Linked DNA regions of Canis lupus familiaris. The protein of the gene in region 1 interacts with the protein of each later gene in a pairwise test. Links are inferred from orthologs where the notes say so. Each region holds a gene or a part of one and is shown in the gene's direction. Other genes may lie near its edges.

Region 1 (6,177 bases):
TATTTTGGCTTTTAGATTGGCTTCTTTAACTCAATAATATGCATTTAAGGTTTTGGCTTATCATGGCTTGATAGATCATTTCCTTTTGGCATTGATAATATTCCATTGTTCTGATCAACCATAGTTTATCCATTCACCCACCGAAAAATATCTTGATTGCTTCCAAGTTTTGACAATTTTGAATAAAGCTGCTATAAACAGCTGTGTACAGGTTTTATGTGGACAGAGTTTTAAGTTTTGGGGGGTAAATACCAAGGGGAATGATTGATTGCTAGATCATATTGTAAGAGAATGTTTAGTTTTCTAAGAAACCACCAAATTGTCTTCCAAAGTGGCTATGCCATTTCCCATTCCTCTGAGTAATGAATGAGAATTCCTGAAATGTGAGCTTTTTAATATAGTATTTTGTCTCTGGTTAAAAAATGAATGTTGGATATTTTATCTGCTTAAATGTGTTAATGTATAAAATCACCTTTTGCATGTTTTAAACATCATGCTGATAATATAGAGAGCAAACTTTGGAAGATGACAGATTGTGTATTCCAAGATGAAGTATTAGCATTTACAAAAGGTTTGAGGTAGAAATATTAATGAAATTTTATCTTCAAATTATTTTTCACATATAAATTGCCATTGTGCTTAGGTATTCTTAAAATAAAAGTTAAAATAAGCATTTTAACTAGCTATGATTTGATCAGAGAAACAAACCTTTTTTTTTTTTTTTAAGATTTTATTTATTTATTCATGAGAGACACAGAGAGGCAGAGACATAGGCAGAGGGAGAAGCAGGCTCCCTGTGAGGAGCTGATGTGGGACTCCATCTCAGGACCCCAGGATCCCAACCTGAGCCAAAGGCAGATGCTCAACCAAGGAGTCACCCAGGTGTCCCAAGAACCACACCCTTAAAATATTCATCTCCATCACAATTATCTTTCTCAGCTGGTTGTAAAGTACTTCCTTTCAGAGATTTTAGCTATAGTGGGTCAAAACTAAAATGAGCTAACATTTGGTTGAAAATAAGGATTAAAAATTATAAACATATAATGTGATAGACTCGTTCCTGGGTTTTTATACTAAAGAGGACTGAAAGACATCATGGAGGAGAAATAATTAACGTCAAGAGGTAAGGCTATTGATCTTCATTTTCCTTTTTTCAATAATGAAACTTAGTTTCTTTTATTTTGTGGGTTTGTTTTTTAAACCAGAGACATGGGGACTGCTGTTGTATATTTATTTCAGAGCTCCCTGGACTTGATCAAAGCAAAGCGGTCCTTCCTCTCTCTTCTATACCTTTTACAATTTTCTCTGCCTTCCTCCTGCTGATCTACAATCCCTGGAATCACTGCCATTGGCAGTGGTTGGAAAGGCCTTAATTCTTCCATTCTTAGTGGGGCCAGGGGACGGCCAGAGGCAAGCGACAACGGCAGGTGGCCCACCAGTCTTCCACCAGCCCTTCGGGTGGCACTTTATTTCACCTTAGGGACACTTAACAAGTAGTACTATCCTCTGGTGAATTTTTGCAGAATAAAAACAGAAATGGGGGATCCCTGGGTGGCGCAGCGGTTTGGCGCCTGCCTTTGGCCCAGGGCGCGATCCTGGAGCCCCGGGATCGAATCCCACGTCGGGCTCCCGGTGCATGGAGCCTGCTTCTCCCTCTGCCTGTGTCTCTGCCTCTCTCTCTCTCTCTCTCTCTGTGACTATCATAAATAAATAAAAATTAAAAAAAAAAACAACAGAAATGTTTAAGAGGTACTTTGTGAACCACCTGAATTGCTTGGTTATTTTCTTTTCCAGAAGACAGGCCCACCCTCTGAGTTCGTAGGAGAAAGTGAATCATTTCTATATCGGAGCGTGAGCGACGCCCTCGGCAGCGATGACTGACATCACTTCTCAGGACCTTGACGACAAGCTTGCCCTTCAGCTTCTACATCTCAAATTCCTGAGTCATGCTCTGTTGTTGCTGCCGCTCTAGGAGCGAATTGCGGCAAGGACCCAAACAAAATGACGTGCGCGCGCGTGGTGAAGGAGGGTCACGGTCGGAGCGCGCCAGCCCAGCGCCCAGGAGCGGGGGTGCAGACGAGGAGCAAAGGGCACAGTGCAGGCACCGGGCACTTCCGTACCGGGCCAAAGGCACCCGACGACCCCCATTCTTTCTTCTCCTAGATTCCAGATCCCAATAAGCTGGAAAGAGCTCGATTTTCGCCCCCTGTGTTTGTTTTTGGATCCAACCAAGAAACAGCGAGCAAGAGGGAATAAGATATCTTTAGAACGTATTTTTTTTTTTTTTTTTTGCATCCAAACCACTTTTAATGTCACAGCCACACAACGAAATTCGAAGTAAAAAAGTTATATGTTCGCAATACTCCCGACGCAGGAGAGTTCGGACAGAGGGAGAGGGGAGCGCGCCGAACCGGACCGACTTTCGCCCTCCCCCCCCGCCCCCCGCTGCCGTCCGAAGGCTGGGGGCGGGGCGGGGAGGCGGGACGTCATGACGTCATAATACCAACGCGCCGCCGTGTTGTTTTTGTGCTCGAGGCTCCGGGGAAAATCCGCCGGGATTTCTCCACCTGAGCGACTCCGTCTTGCGTCCGAGGGGACCCGACGTCCCTTCTGCAAGCTCTGCCAAGGCGCGTGGCGACGGGAGCTGACGTTTCTCAGGCGGTTCTGACACCTACATCGAAATTCGGCAGGGGGAGGCGAGGCGGGAGAGACGCAGCCACCCGCGAGGAAGGCAGGCCCCGGCCGGGGAATCTTAGAAACCCTGCGGTCCATCATGAAGTTCCAGTACAAGGAGGACCATCCCTTTGAATATCGGAAAAAGGAAGGAGAAAAAATCCGGAAGAAATATCCGGACAGGGTCCCTGTGAGTGTAATGGGGGGCAGGGAAGAGGAGGGGGGAAGGGGCTGAGCGCGCTTGGGGGAACCCGGGAGTCGTGGTGGCTGCCCTGAGGCACAGAAGAGGGGTGGTCTCTAGGGTTGCTGAGCCCCTGGAGAGCCGTGGAGCGCACGTCCTGATTGCGGACCCTGCACGGCCCGTCTCCCCGGGGCCGCTCTCCCCGTCATCTTTAGAGCGGAGCCTCCGTTTGAGTGACTCAGCAGTATTCAGAGGATGTGCAGGGTGAGAAGTGACCAGAACGTGGCCCTTTAGTGAGAGCAGGATCGAGATGGGACCATACATTCGCGTCCTTCAGAATCCCAGGGAAATTGTTCTGGAAATAACTTGGTGCAGTGAGGTTTGCGGCCATGGATTTCTGCCTTCGATGCGTCTCCCTGAAGTTGACTTTGGCTCTCAGAACATTGGGTTTGGGAGGGATAGATTCAGAAATCAGTGGATCCTTTCTTTTATTCCATAAGAATGAGAAAAGTGTCTTTGTTGGGGGGGGGGGGAGGGGAGGGCACGAGACAGGCCTGGCCCAGAAAACAAGGTCACGTTCTCTGCGCCACAGCCCGATTGCCTCATCATTCTTGGCTCCAGGGGCTTGTGAGGGTGCAGCCAGCCTCCCTCCTGTACTTATTCTATCAGATTGTACCTGGACACAACCATGAAGGACTGGGGCCTTTTGCTTCCGTCTTGGAAGCTGGTTTCTGTGGTTAAAATTAGTGCCGGCAGTGGGGAGAACAGAGAAACATTAAGGTAGCTTTCTGCATCCGGGCGCTTTTTTCGTCGCCCCATCCCCCGCCGCTTGCCTGTTTTTTTTTTTTTTTTTTTTTTTGTAATGTAGGCTGCGCAGCCAGATTGGAAGGCAGAAGACTTTTGAGTGTGGTGGTAGAGGGAACAACCACCGTTGGGTTTTGGAGATGGAGGAGCAGAGGCTGTCAGATTGTACTATCTTCAGGCAGGGACATTGGGATAAAGATGACGTATTATGTACAGGCAAAGTAATTGTGATTATGTGTTGTCAGTTCTTGACCTGCAGGTACTCTTTGGGACTCTTCTCCAATCCTTACCTAATTTTCATCGTGTTACAGCTACTGGAAGCAACTTGGGCCTTAATGCCTGCAGTAAAACTCCCCTGCAGTCCTTTATAAGGAAGCGAGACTTTAGGTCTGTTCCATTCCCCACGAATTGTACACAAGGGTTTTCAGCTAAAAAGGAGATCTAGCTCTATTACCCACCCAGTAAATGATCCTTCACAAATTACTTGTTTGGTATCTGGACTTTGGGTGACAGCTTCAAAAGTTTGCCCCAATTGTGGTGGTAGCAAGCCTCCTTTCGTCTAATAGTTAAAAATGACAACTAACTTTCATTGGTTGATTGTTTGCTCTATACTGACAGTATTGCATGTCCTCTGACCTTACTCAATCTTCACACCGTTATAATCCCATTCTACAGATGAAGGATCTGAAGCACAGAGAAATGACGGATTCCTAAAGGTTTCCTGTGGCTGGTGTGTGGCAGAGCCTGAGATTCCAACTCTGGTTGTTGGACCTTCCATGCCATATCGTTTCTCAATTTCTAATACAATTCTCTTAATTAAGAATTAAGGAAAATTAATCTCAGAATTAATTAAGGAGGCACTGTGTGACTCACACTGTTAGGTATTGGAAATTAAGAAAAAACATTGCAGCCCTAGAAAGGTCAGAGAAGTATGATGCCAGAAAGGTAACCCACTGAGCAAAATGACTACCATTTATTCAGAACAGTATGAGGCTCTGTTCCAGTAGCTCTGCCTAAGCCACAAACTCTGAAAGGTACCTGTTCCTAAATCTAGTTAAAATTCCCATGTATTTCTTCAAAACCGAGCCCTTGCCATTTCAGTCTCTTACATGCATTCACCCAGAGTATTTCAGCTAATCTTCCCTATTCTTTTCCTGCTCATTGTTTGGTGTTAAAAATGTTTGGCCTGTGTGATTACTTGTCAGCTCTTAGAATCATCACTCAGGTCTCATGGTTCCTTCAGTTGGGTTTTAACCAGTTTATAAGCGTTCCAGCTGCTCCTTAGGTGCTCAGCCTGTGACCTTCTTTGTGGTCGTGATGCAGGAAGAAGAGCTCTGCTCTCTGAGTTGTGAGATTTAGTTTTGGGCCAGATCCTTAATCTTGCTGTACTAAAGTGTACAGAAAAGAGGGTTAGTGTAAGTGATTTCTAAAACCCCTTCCAGCTGGGCCATTGGTATTTACCAAAGCAATCAGGTTCCCTGACTGCTCACATAACTCAGTTTTAGTTAGGCCCCTCCTTATCTCTTAGCTACCATCCAAAAGAATGGATGTGCTCCTGCCTTGAGAGGAAAGGTTTTCTTTGGATCTTAAAGTATCTGCATAGCTACAGTGTATTGAAAACCTTCAACACTGCAGGAAACTGTTAGGGACATATTGTCTATTCTTTAAAATTTGTAAAAGCCCTTGTGGAATATTGGCCGTATTGCACAGAAGAAAAAAACACGTCGAGAACCAAAGAGGAAAAGCATCTAGTCCAGGGCCTATGAGTAGAGTTGGGGTTGTTGGAAACCTAAGATATTTTCTGGTAAGCCAAGGCCTTAATGATTACCCATCCCCCTCCTGTTCATCTCCAAATCCCAACCTCCTGTCTGGATATCTTATTTGCAGTATATTTTATTGCCTCTTTTTCTGCTCTCTTTTTGTGGTTTCTGTCACTTCTTACTGATGGGAGCGGGAGGTCTCAGGGTTCCTTTGGGAAACAGTGTTAGGCTCCCTCTCTTTCCCTTTGCTTTTTTATTAACCTGATGCCTCCTGTCCATCCTCATTGTTGGGCCTTCACTGGTCTATCCCTGAACTTCTTCCTACTTTTTCTTTTAAATTTCTGATTCACGTATTTTTTTTTCTGGTTTTCACTTCTAAATTTTTAGAGGGATCATGTCCCTTCAGTCTTCCTGGTTCAGGATTCTTTTTCTCCAGAAACACAAAATAATGTTTTTTACTCCTTTTATGTGTTCCCTTTCATTTAAAAGCTTCAAGCCTCCAAGTCTCTCCTCTTAAATCGTTCCTTTTATTAAGATAATTCTTCATAATTTACAAAACATTTTCACATAAAATTTTATGGATTACTCAAAGTTACTGTAGGAGTACCATGACTGTAGAAGATATATTGGAAAGTTTCATCTTCCTATTACTCACCGGAATGCTGTAGTTCAAAGAAGTTAAATGACCTGTTGAAGATCACAAAGTTCCCTGGGATACTTGTCTAGTGTTACTTCTACTTCTGTAACTCTTCTAGATTT
Region 2 (6,114 bases), on another chromosome or scaffold:
GTTGGATTGATCCCTTTATCATTATGTGGTGCGCTTCTTTGTTTCCTGCTGCAGCTTTGTTTTAAAATCTATTTTGTCTGATAAAAAATATTGCTACCTCAGCTTTTTTTTACTTCCACTTGTTTGGAATATCTTTTTTAATTCCTTCACTTTCAGTTTGTATGTATCTCTAGATTTGAGTGAGTCTCTTGTAGGCAGTATATTGATGGGTCTTGTTTTTTTTATCTGTGCAGTCAACTTGCATCTTTTGATTGGAAATTTAGTTCATTCATGTTTAAAGTAATTATTGATAGGTATGTACTCACTGCCATTTTAAACATGTTTTCTGGTTGTTTCTGTAGTTCTTCTGTGTTCCTTTCTTCTCTTGCTCTCTTCTGTTGTGGTTTGATGGTTTTCTTAGTGTTGTGCTTGGATTCCTTTCTCTTTTACATTTTGTGTATCTATTACAGGTGTTTGATTTGTGGTTAGCACTAAGTTCATATATAAAATCTTGTGTGTATAGCAGTCTATTTTAAGTTGATGGTCTTTCCAGTGCTTTCTTTAGACTGTGTTTGAACTTAATTTTTACTACCCCCCCCAACCTTTTATGTACATGAGGTCATGTTTTATATCTTTTTTTGTGTATTCTTTGATTTTTGTAGATTATAGTTGATTTTACTTCTTTTGTGTTTTAACCTCCATATTGCTCTAAAAGTGGTTATCTGCCTTTTACTATATGTTTGTTTTGCCTGTGAAATTTTTTCCTTTCATAATTTTCTTACTATGGATTATGTCATTTTCTTTCCACTCAAAGAATTCCTTTAACATTTCTTGTATGGTTGGTTTAGTAGTGATGTACTCCTTGAACTTTTGTCTGGGAAACTGTCTCTCCTATTCTGAAAAATAACCTTGCTGGGTAGAGCATTCTTGGTTGCAGGTTTTTTCCTTTCAGTATTTTGAGTATCCTGCCACTCCCCCTGGCCTGCAGAATTTCTCCTGAGAAATCAGCTCATAGTGTTATGGGATTTTATTTGTCTGCAACTGTTTACTTTTTTTTTGCTGCTTTTAAAATTCTCTCTTGATGATCATTTTCATTTCAGTTATATTGTGTCATGGCATGGGCCTTCTTAGGTTAATCTGGTTAGGGGCCCTCCTTGCTTCTTGGGCTTGGATGTCTGTTTCCTTTCCCAGATTAGGGATGTCTTCAGCAATTATTTCTTCAGATGAGTTTTGTTTTCTTTTCTCCCCTTCTTCTGGGATTCCTGTAAGTACTGTTATTATGCTTGATGTCACTGAATTCCTTTAACCTATCCTCATGTTTATTATTTTCCTTTTTGCCGTTCAGTTTGAGTGCATTCCATTACCATTTTCCAATTGCTGATTCGCCAATATCAATCTTCTATCTACTAATCAACTGATATTTCCTTAGTGTATTTTTTGTTATTGAATTTTTTAATATTTTGTTTGTTGAAATGATTTTTGTTTTGTTGAAATGCTGATTTCACCCACTCTTTTCTCAAGTCTATTGAGTATCTTTATGACCATTACTTCGAATAAGGCATATTGTTTATCTCCATTTCATGTAGCTCTTTTGTTGTGATTTTGTTCTTTCATTTGGGGACATGTTCCTTTGTCTCTTCGAATAAGGCATATTGTTTATCTCCATTTCATGTAGCTCTTTTGTTGTGATTTTGTTCTTTCATTTGGGGACATGTTCCTTTGTCTCTTCATTTTGTCTCTCAGTTTGTTTCTATGTATTAGGGAAATCAGCTACATCTTGTGTGGAAGAGGTCCTGTGGTGCCCAAAAGGGTAGTCCTTGACAGGTCATCAGTACCAGGCACTCCAGAGGGGTCTCCTGTATGGGTGATGCATACCCTACTCTTGTGGCTGAGCCTCATTTGCCTTTAGCACAGTCAGCTCTTGTGACCCACTTTGCCTGCTGTGGACACAGCGGACAGTGTTTGCTCCCTGTGCTGTTGAGAGGCCTGAAGCTGCTCTGCGCTCATTGGTAGGTAGGGCCAGTTGTCAGACTAGATGTCTGCAGTTAGCTCCTCTGCCACAGGTATAGGCTCTTGTCACTCTGTCTTTTGACTGAATATTTAGATTCTCCAAAGATTTGGAGAGGCCTCTATAGCCATACCACCCTGAACCCCACCCCATCTCAGCTAATCTGACAGTAAGCAGGGTCAGGCCTAATCAGTAGTTGCTGGGAGGCCTCCTTGGAATACTAGCTGTCGTCAGTATTTAAGAGGCTGTCGTCTCTTAAAGAGCTGAGATCTCCTGAGTGCTCAGCTGCCTCTGATCCTGGGGCACGAGCTGACAGGAATGATGGACAAGTCTAGAACCTTTTATAGCAGTTTCACAGTAATTTTATATTATTTCTAATGTCTTTTTGTTTTTTATTGTATTTTTAATGGTGTTTCAGTCTGTGATTGATTGGGAGGGGAAAATACTGGTCCTTGACCACGGTCAGTTTTGAGAGCTACTGACCTAGAACACCTATGTAAAAAATGAAGTCATCTGAGCAAGCATAGACTGATTGCAGTCCAGTTGGTTGTTTATGGGGACAAAAGACAGGCAACATGGTTGTGTACACTTATGACCTGATTTGCTCCTAGGTGTTACTGGGCTTGCGTGATACCAGCGATTCCATTGTGGCAATTACTCTTCACAGCCTAGCAGTACTGGTGTCTTTACTTGGACCAGAGGTGGTTGTGGGAGGAGAAAGAACCAAGATCTTCAAACGCACTGCCCCAGGTTTTACTAAAACGGTCAACCTTTCCCCAGAAGGTAAGAATGAAAAGTACAGCTTTTTATTTTAATTAGATTTTTAACAAATAACATGGTGGGTTGTCTTCAGTCAAATGATACAGAGAATGGTAAAGAGTAATTTCCCTTTCCCAATTCCTTCTGGGTGTGTAAGGTAACCAGTTTTAATAGTTTAGTGGGACTCTTTTCTTCCCTTTTGTAAAACCCACAAAGACACACAGATGTATGTTTATACACACATGCCCATATGTAGAATTTTTTAAAAAAACAATGAGCAAATACTACGTGCAATTGTACAGCCTAATTTTCACACGTAGTGGCTTATCAGAGACTGGTTTCTAGGTCAGTACATAGTAATGACACCTTTTTTGACAGCTGCCTAATATTTCACTGAATACGATTCAGTGATTTCCCTCTTAATGGATATTGCTTTCATTTCTGGATTTTTAACCACTACATTGATGCAGCAGATGTCTTTGTACCTGTATCTTTATGTAGTTTGGCTTTTATTGCTAAAAGATAAAGTCCCAGAAGTAGACCTACTGAGTCAAATGATGTATATTTAAAATTTTAGTAGATACTGTCAGCTTCTAAAAGGGCTGTAGCACCTTATAACACTAGATATTCAAATTTTTCTGGCATTGATGGCCTTTTAAGTAAAGAGCTGTTGGTTTTTAGTTACTTCAAGAAATCCTTATTTCTGGGCTATTTCCCATTGGATGTTACATGGGACAGAGCATTACTTTCTGGTCTTTGTAGGCAGTAAAAGTCAAGAATTTTATATCAGCATTATTGCTTCTTTGGTCCTGGGTATAACCTAGAATCAGATGGTGACCTTGTGAGGAAACGCAGATCTCTGATTCAGTTGTCGTGGATAGTGTATTTGATATTATCCAAATAGTTACAGTAGAAAAGATCAGATTTTCCCCTAATTTTGATGCCAGGAGAATCTTTAAAGCAACACTGGCTTTCTGAAGTTTTGATGGGTCCATGTCTTCATGGTGCCAATGAAGTCTGTGTCCAGATTTGCAGAAGGTCATGAAGAAGCTGCTCCCTCCTCTCCTGCCAGGATATGTTCACACTGCATTGAGTGAATGAAGGCCGTGTGTTACCAGTTTTTCTCTTAGCAGAGTACAACAAACAGCAAATGAGAGATTTATTTATATTTCCTAACACAGGAACATTGAGGGGGGATGGTGGTGGTGGTATGTGCTATTTTGAGATAAGACTGTGGGAGTCCATCTCAGGGCAGCTTTGTATGTTGAATTAGCAAGAGTCCCCATTCTTCATAACTGTTTTATTTATTAGATGCAGTTTCCTAGTTCTGGACATTTTATATACTATTGACGTGTAATCTTAGAAACCAAAAAGGCACCAAAAGCAGGAGTAACAAATGAATTTTTATTAAAATAGATGTTCCTGGAGACTTTACAAAACAGATCAAGGTCTGATCCCACTGACTTCCCAAAGTAGTTAAACTCTTCATCCAAGATGGCTGTCGACCCCTGGTTGCAGCCTGCATTTCAAGTTCATGGCTAGAGTGGTCCTTCTTCTGAAGGATGAGAGAGAATGCTGGGGAGGGGGCATGGATACAGGAGGCTACCCTTAGACTTTTTCCTCCTTCTGTTCTTCTGCAGTTTCACTATATGGTCAGACTTCATATGGGATAATATTGAGGTTTATGAAAAGGGTAGTATCTTACTTACATTAGGGAAGTCAGTCTGGATGGAGGAGAGTTGGAGGAGACCCTGGGAGGCCCTCAGCAGGGAGGGTGGTGACAGAAGCAGGCAAGAGGCTACAGGGCTTGCAGAGGTCAGGCAGGGCCTCCCTGTGATGACCTACCTAGGCATAGGAAGTATTAAGCCAAAAATTTTGCTGGAATCCTTTGACCAAAGCCCACTGTTGAGTATGAATTTTCTGGCAAACTGTTAAAGACCATTTTTTTTTTGGAAACATTTTTTTCCCCCAGCTGGGAGTTAAATGTTTGTAACATAAAATTTACCATTTTAACCATTTTTACTGTACAGTTTGTGGCATTAAGTACATTCACATTGGTGTGCTTGTATTCTTAGACTTTTTTTTTTTTTTAAGTAGAATCAATTATTTTAAATTGACAAAATGTTCAGTGGCTGTTAACTTTTTTAATTAGGTATTCTAAAGGTTATATCTAATCCAACTGCTCACCCAATGCTTGAACTGTTTCAAGTCCCTTACCATCATGTAGACCTCAGCCTGCCCTGAAACACCTTGAGGACACAGGCAGGCCATTCTGTAATGAGTGTGTTTCTTCAGATATTTAAAGATTCTCTCTGCAACTTATCCTTTATCTGTGTTAAATATACCCATTTCCCCTGTTACTCACTTACCCTGACAGAGCAAGAAGCTATTTACTATCCTTTTTATTTTTGGGAGTTTTTATTTATCTTCAGATTCTCCCCCGCACGTCTTCTGTAGCCAGCAGAGTCAGACGGCGCCAATCTTGGAGAACCCCTCCTCTGGCATGTTCCCTAAATGTTTCTTTTCTGGCAGCATGCCCATCAGCAAGAAGCAGATACAGCGAGATTGCTACAATACTCTTTTACAGACAGGTAGAAATATTCAATTTATATAGTTTTTCCACTGTTACATGAATGTTATTCCTGAGTACAGAGTTATAAATTTTAAAAATTAAGGGCAGTTTGGGAATAACGAGGCTGATTTCTGTATAACTGTAGTCAGCTGGGGTGTCATCTGCTTTTCCTGGACTACAGGTTATATACCTACCATTTCTTCATAACTGGTGAGGAGAGCTAGCTGACATTATTTTGGTACTTCTGGTGCTTTAGTGCAACATTTTCCAAACTATATCAGAGGATGCTAATTCTGTTAGATGGCAGTAGGTATGCCATGAAAAAGAGAGTTGTGTGGTTAAGTAAGTTTGGGGAGATGTTAGTAGCAGAGTCCTGACACACTTATTGTGCAAGATTCCAGGACCTTGACTACATTTAAGGATATCTGATTAAAATGAGGGTATGTTAGGGTTGCCTGGGTGGCTCAGTTGGTTAAGCATCTTACTCTTGATTTCAGCTCAGGTCATGATCTCAGGGTCTTGAGATCAAGCCCCTCTGTGCTGGGCATGGAGCCTGCTTAAGATTCTCTCTTTCTCTCTTCTGCCACCCCCCCCCCCTTCTAAAAAAAATAAAAGAGATACTATGTTGGTTTAAGGCAAACTTATTTGAGCACACAACACTTTTTGGGGTTAACACTGCCTGGCTTAGAACATTTCTATATTTGTTTATAGATAATACACCAATAAACAATACGCTTGAATATTTAGTGAAGAATTGTATGCTCTAGTTAAAGTATCTGAATAACCTACCTCACAT
Region 3 (5,850 bases), on another chromosome or scaffold:
TTTATACATACTGATAAAAAATCCATTAAAAGTCTTCACACATAGTCCCTCATGAGTAAAGACTATTAACTTTATTTTAAGTCCTTTTTGATGCATTTGTTATTAACTCTTGTATTTTTTAGTCCTTTTTGATGCATTTGTAAGTGTATATACACACATACACATAAATAAATACATATACATAAATACATAAATACATAGTAGGAAGTATACCTTCCTACTTTCTACTTTTTCAGTGAAGCGAAAGTGTAAGATTGGATTATAGATTTTTAAAACAGTGTAGTTGAGGTTAAACAAAAGTTTAAACTTCACTGACTTGTTTTATAACAATTACAGCTTTGTTGATTTAGTTTACTTTAGGAAATATGTTAAGTCTTAAGGGCAGCCCCGGTGGCGTGGCACAGCGGTTTAGCACCGCCTGCAGCTCAGGGTGTGATCCTGGAGACCTGCATGGAGCCTGCCTCTCCCTCTGCCTGTCTCTGCCTCTCTCTCTCTGTGTCTCTCGTGAATAAATAAATAAATCTTAAAAAAAAAAAAAGGAAATATGTTAAGTCTTAAGAAAAAGTTTCATTCTTAAATTACTTTTAGCAAAAAACATTGGCAACTCAGTCTAAGCTAACCTTATTTTTTCCTTACTAAATGTTTTCCTCAGAGAATCCTAAATACTTATTTTCTCCCTAGAAATATATTACTGATTCATTCATTTGTCTCAGTTTTGGTAGTTGGATCTGCTAGAAGTTGGTTTCATTGATTTTTAGCTATTGTTTCTCTTAACTAGTATAACCATTGACTTGAAAAGCGATTATCATTAGTGATTTTATTAGCATCATGACATCCCCCTGAGCCCAAATTAGCTCAGACAATTCAAAGAAAGTAATAAAACTCTTCATTTATTTTAGACAGCGTTCCCAGTGTTTGTATGTAAGTGCTATCTTTTCGTTTTATTGATGGCTTTGGCATAATAGTGATAGTCAAATCCTTCTGTAAAATAGGGCTGCTGGTAATAAGCCATGGACAGGAGGATTGCTACTGGATGCACTCTCCTTGCATTGGAATCCTGGCAAAGCTCAGGTTGTGGAGAGGCTAACTGACAACTAGACTGGTACTCTACCATGGTGGCTCCCAGGCTCACCATTGATAGTCTCTTTATGAGATGTCTAATATACTGTTCCAGTAAAGCAGTACTTTAACAGAAGCAGAGAAGATACAAGAAGAAAAGTGGATATTTTCTGAAGTATTTATCTTGAAATTTTGAAAATTTGCCTTAGTGTTTCAAACAGGTCAGCAAAAGAAACGTATAAGCATGTTGTCTTCAATCTTAACAATTAAGATTTTAATAGTTAAAATATGAATAGAGACTAACTGCTGTGCTTGCCCTATAGAGACTTTATTGATTTATAAAGTAAATTAGATTCATTTGGTTAGCAAAAAGCTTGCCCAGGTTTTCCTGTCACATTATGGGGATTTTTATGATGATACAGGAGCAAGTACTATAGGGACATTGTCATAGTTTCTTATATGTAGTATACAATCAATAATTGTACTGAGTCTGTGATACTGTATAGATTTTTTGAGTAAATCCTCAGTTGTATCCTTTTTCTCAAAAGTAGAGCACAAAATATGGGAAACATTTATGTCTTGCAGATGTAGTTTTATTTCTTTTTTTTTTTTTTAAATTTTTTTTTAATTTTTATTTATTTATGATAGTCACAGAGAGAGAGAGAGAGAGAGAGAGGCAGAGACACAGGCAGAGGGAGAAGCAGGCTCCATGCACCGAGAGCCCGACGTGGGACTCGATCCCGGGTCTCCAGGATCGCGCCCTGGGCCAAAGGCAGGCGCCAAACCGCTGCGCCACCCAGGGATCCCCTGTAGTTTTATTTCTTAAAAAGATTTTGTTTATTCATGAGGGACACAGGCAGGGACATAGGCAGAGGGAGAAGCAGGCTCCATGCAGGGAGCCTGATGTGGGACTTGACTCAGGTACTCTGGGATTACACCCTGAGCCAAAGGCAGATGCATCCAACCACTTAGCCACCCAGGCATTCCATCAGTTTGTATTTTTATATATTCAATCATGTTTTTTTTAATTATTTATTTATTAGAGATAGAGAGACACACACAAACAGGCAGAGGGAGAAGCAGGCTCCATGCAGGGAGCCTGGCGTTGGTCTTAATCCCAGATCTCCAGGATCGCGCCCTGGGCGGAAGGCGGTGCAAAACCGCTAAGCTACCGGGTCTGCCCTCAATCATGTTTTTAAGGAGGAATTCCAAGTGTGTGTCTTCTCAATAATTATGGCATGCAGATGCTCTTGTAATTTGCATTTAGTTTTGTGTATTTTCTGAAGGTATAAACTTTGTGTTAGTTGGTATCATTCAACTTGTATGATTTGCTTGTTTCAGATTCACAATGACATCCTTTCAAGAAGTCCCCTTGCAGACTTCCAACTTTGCCCATGTCATCTTTCAAAATGTGGCCAAGAGTTATCTTCCTAATGCACACCTGGAATGTCATTACACCTTAACTCCATATATCCATCCACATCCAAAAGATTGGGTTGGTATATTCAAGGTAAGAACAGTTTGTTGCATGTTTCTTCCATGTAGGTATAGGTACTCTATTTTCTTTTTAAGCAGGTTGATAAGTAGCTTGTATTAGCCTTGTCTTCACTCTGCGATAAGGGTCTTTTTACATTTGTAAACTTAAATGCTTTATAAACATGAAACACCTAATAGTGCAGGGTGGTATACGATACTGGGAACTAAAGTTCACCAGTTTTGCCCGTCTCTCTGATCAAAAGGTCTGTGAAACACTTTTTGGAACCTTTCTTTCCCTTCCATTTTTTCCATTCCTTATTTGAAAAAAGGTCTTTTCCTTTGAGTTGCTTTATCATTTACTATCTCTTCAGTCATTTATAATTAATTTTATACAACTCTACAGCCGTGTTATTTTTCTATTCTACGTTGATTAATTATTGCTCATGTCATTTTATGCTTTTTTTTTTTTTTTTTTCTAAATTTTATTTATTCATGAGGCAGAAACACAGGCAGAGGAAGAAGCAGGCTTCATGCAGGGAGCCCGACATGGGACTTGATCCTGGGTCTCCAGGATCAGGCCCAGGGCTGACGACAGTGCTAAACTGCTGAGCCACCCGGGCTGCCCCATTTTATTAAGAGTATTCTGTTTTTACATGACTAAATAGTAAACTCTCTGATGACAGGAATCCCAGTTCTTACCTTTTGCTAGTCATTTTGTATAGTAGTTGCTTGAGAATTACTTTGAGGTGATCTTTATGGTGGTGCTTCTCTGTGCTAGAAATTTACTGGCAATTTCAACTCTTAAGAATGTAGTGGATAACTAAAACGTGAGGTGAGTCCTTAGGGTGCCTGGCTGGCTCAGTTGGAAGAACATGTGACTCTCGATCTTGGGTTTGTGAGTTTGAGCCCCACATTGGGTGTAGAGATTACTTAAATAAAATTAAAAAGTGTCCTTTCAACAATCAAAATGTCGTAAATGTCCAAATAATAAAACTTTTCTCCTCAGTTCCTCTAGATTCTCCCTCAGAATGAGTTTTAGATATGATTTTAAGGGTCTTGAAATTTTGATTGCATGGTGTGTATAAGTTACAACAAAGTAGAAAGAAAGAACAGCTGCCAGAATGAAACACAGGTATCTAGAAGTGAAAGTCAGCCTTTTAGAGTGAGGAGGGCCGAAAAACTATTGGACAAAGAAAGTTTTGGCATCTAATGACGTTTCATTTCTTTTTTGAATCCCTTCCTTGATTTTGATGATAGAGGAATCATTTACTATTTTTTAATCTATTTATTGTTTGAGTCAAATTCCAAAATGGGGATACATTCATTGTAAGCATTTTTATGAAGTTAGTACTGGTTTGATTTTATGTGAAGTATGGGTTATCAAGTTAAAGAAGCTGAGTGAAAATTGGTGTTTTGTATAGGAATTGGTCAGACAAAAGTAGAGCAAGGAAATAAGATTGAGGGAAAGGAGGGGCATTTCTGGCAGGAAAATGGTATAAGCAGAGCCACAGAGTTGAGAATGTTATTGAGACAAGTTAGTTTGACTAGAAAATGACCTTCATTTAGGAAAGTAGAGGGAGGTAATGTTGGAATTAAGCTTCAGACTATCTATGGAGACCTTTAGTTATAGGCTAAAATTAAAATGTAGGTTTCTATTTTGGGCAATGGGATGTCTTTGCATATGTAGGTATGTAGGCTGATGTATGATAAATTGCATTTCAAGATGAATCTTTACCTTTTTCCTTTGAAGTTTTTTTTTCCCCTCAATTTTTAGTTAATGGCCTATTGCCTAAGCCAAAAGCTAATTACTTTCCTTTCAAATCTATTCAAACACCATTTCTTTACATTTTATTGCATATGTATTTTTGTATCTGTGATATCAGTGCTCTAGTTTTATGCCCTTTCCAAAATTATTGCACTTGTTTTCCCTGTTTTCATTCTTGTCCCCCTACCTTATCTGTTCTTCAAAGTACTGTATATAAACTATATTATAAAATGAAAATCTGAACATATCTTCTTTTTGTTTCAAACTCTTAGTTTTTCATTATCTGTAGAATAACGCCAAGACCAAATAACTTTACCAGTGTGCCATATAAGGCTTCCTTTTTTTTTTTTTTAAGATTTTATTTATTTGGGAGCTTGTGAGCATGAGCTGGGGGAGAGGCAGAGGGAGAAACAAAAACGGACTCCCCATGCTGAGTAGGGAGCCTAAAGTGGGGCTTGATCACAGGATCCTGGGATTATGATCTGAGCTGCAGACAGACGCTTAACTGAGCTACCCAGGTTCCCCATATAAAGCTTCTGTATATGTAACTTCATTTTTTTTGGTCATAGCCTGCTTATTATTATTTTTTCAAAGATTTTATTTATTCATGAGAGACTGAGAGAGAGAGAGAGAGAGACAGAGACACAAGCAGAGGGAGAAGCAGGTTCCATGCAGGGAGCCCGACATGGGACTTGATCCCGGGAATTGCCTTATTTTTTACTTTGGTAATGCCAAACTCTTATCTCACGTGCACTTCAAGTGCTGTAACTTTTCTCTAAGAAATAATACTTACATAAATGAATACAGTGGTATGGAATGCGCTTGGATTATAGAATTGCCTGGATAATACTTTTAAACTTGATAGGAATTTCAGGTATGTGGTAAAAATTTCAGAATACGTGCGGGAAGTCTCAAGAAAATAAATCATGTTTAATAGAGTGGAATTGCCATGCTTATTGCATTGCACGTTTTAAAACATTTAGGTGTACTGCAAATTGCCCTCTAGGATGATTTTGATGGATACAATATTTTAGGGAAGCAAGAGAAAGTGCAGGATGGTAGCTATAAGGGGGAAGGAATGAAGGGAAAGTGTGTGTGGTATGTTTGTGAAAATGTTAAAGGAATTTGACTTGTTTGGGACAGATCATCAGTTTTAGAAGATGAATGGAAAAGCTTGGTTTGGATATTTGGCTGAGGAATGAAGTACAGCAGAGAGTAATTTTAGAAGTGAGTCTTTATCTTGGAGGGTTGAGTAAGATAAATTTAAATTGAAATTAGAAGAGAATGGAGACAGAAAATGTTTTAGACTATCCTAATTTTCTAGGTGAGATAACGCCTAAAGTAGAAAAGGGAGTCAGTTGTGGATTATAATCCATAAGTAGAATCATTGTGAATTTGTCACAATTAGTTGAATGAATTTGGACTGGAACTCACTCATGGCTTTATTATATTCAGTAAGGAGAAATAAGATCATGTGTTAAGAGTTGAGGAGGGCTTGAGTATGCCGATTTGGTTTTGCTATTGTGGAAGAATGTCATAGGGAATTAGAG

The links.
Region 2: the proteins of GABARAPL1 (region 1) and SCYL3 interact in binary tests that used the Homo sapiens proteins (3 or more experiments, as listed by UniProt). The two-hybrid records come from large-scale screens. The link is inferred for Canis lupus familiaris from reciprocal best matches to the Homo sapiens genes GABARAPL1 and SCYL3.
Region 3: the proteins of GABARAPL1 (region 1) and TAX1BP1 interact in binary tests that used the Homo sapiens proteins (3 or more experiments, as listed by UniProt). The link is inferred for Canis lupus familiaris from reciprocal best matches to the Homo sapiens genes GABARAPL1 and TAX1BP1.

The regions. Positions count from the first base shown.
Region 1 is NC_049248.1:10,351,042-10,357,218, forward strand, and holds the start of GABARAPL1 (gamma-aminobutyric acid receptor-associated protein-like 1), read left to right. Parts: upstream 1-2,491; 5' UTR 2,492-2,773; coding exon 2,774-2,863; intron 2,864-6,177. UniProt on the Homo sapiens protein: Ubiquitin-like modifier that increases cell-surface expression of kappa-type opioid receptor through facilitating anterograde intracellular trafficking of the receptor. Involved in formation of autophagosomal vacuoles.
Region 2 is NC_049228.1:28,710,450-28,716,563, forward strand, and holds part of SCYL3 (protein-associating with the carboxyl-terminal domain of ezrin), read left to right. Parts: intron 1-2,598; coding exon 2,599-2,770; intron 2,771-4,149; exon of another isoform or gene 4,150-4,591; intron 4,592-4,775; exon of another isoform or gene 4,776-5,178; coding exon 5,179-5,337; exon of another isoform or gene 5,338-6,114. UniProt on the Homo sapiens protein: May play a role in regulating cell adhesion/migration complexes in migrating cells.
Region 3 is NC_049235.1:40,947,353-40,953,202, forward strand, and holds part of TAX1BP1 (tax1-binding protein 1), read left to right. Parts: intron 1-2,400; 5' UTR 2,401-2,407; coding exon 2,408-2,569; intron 2,570-5,850.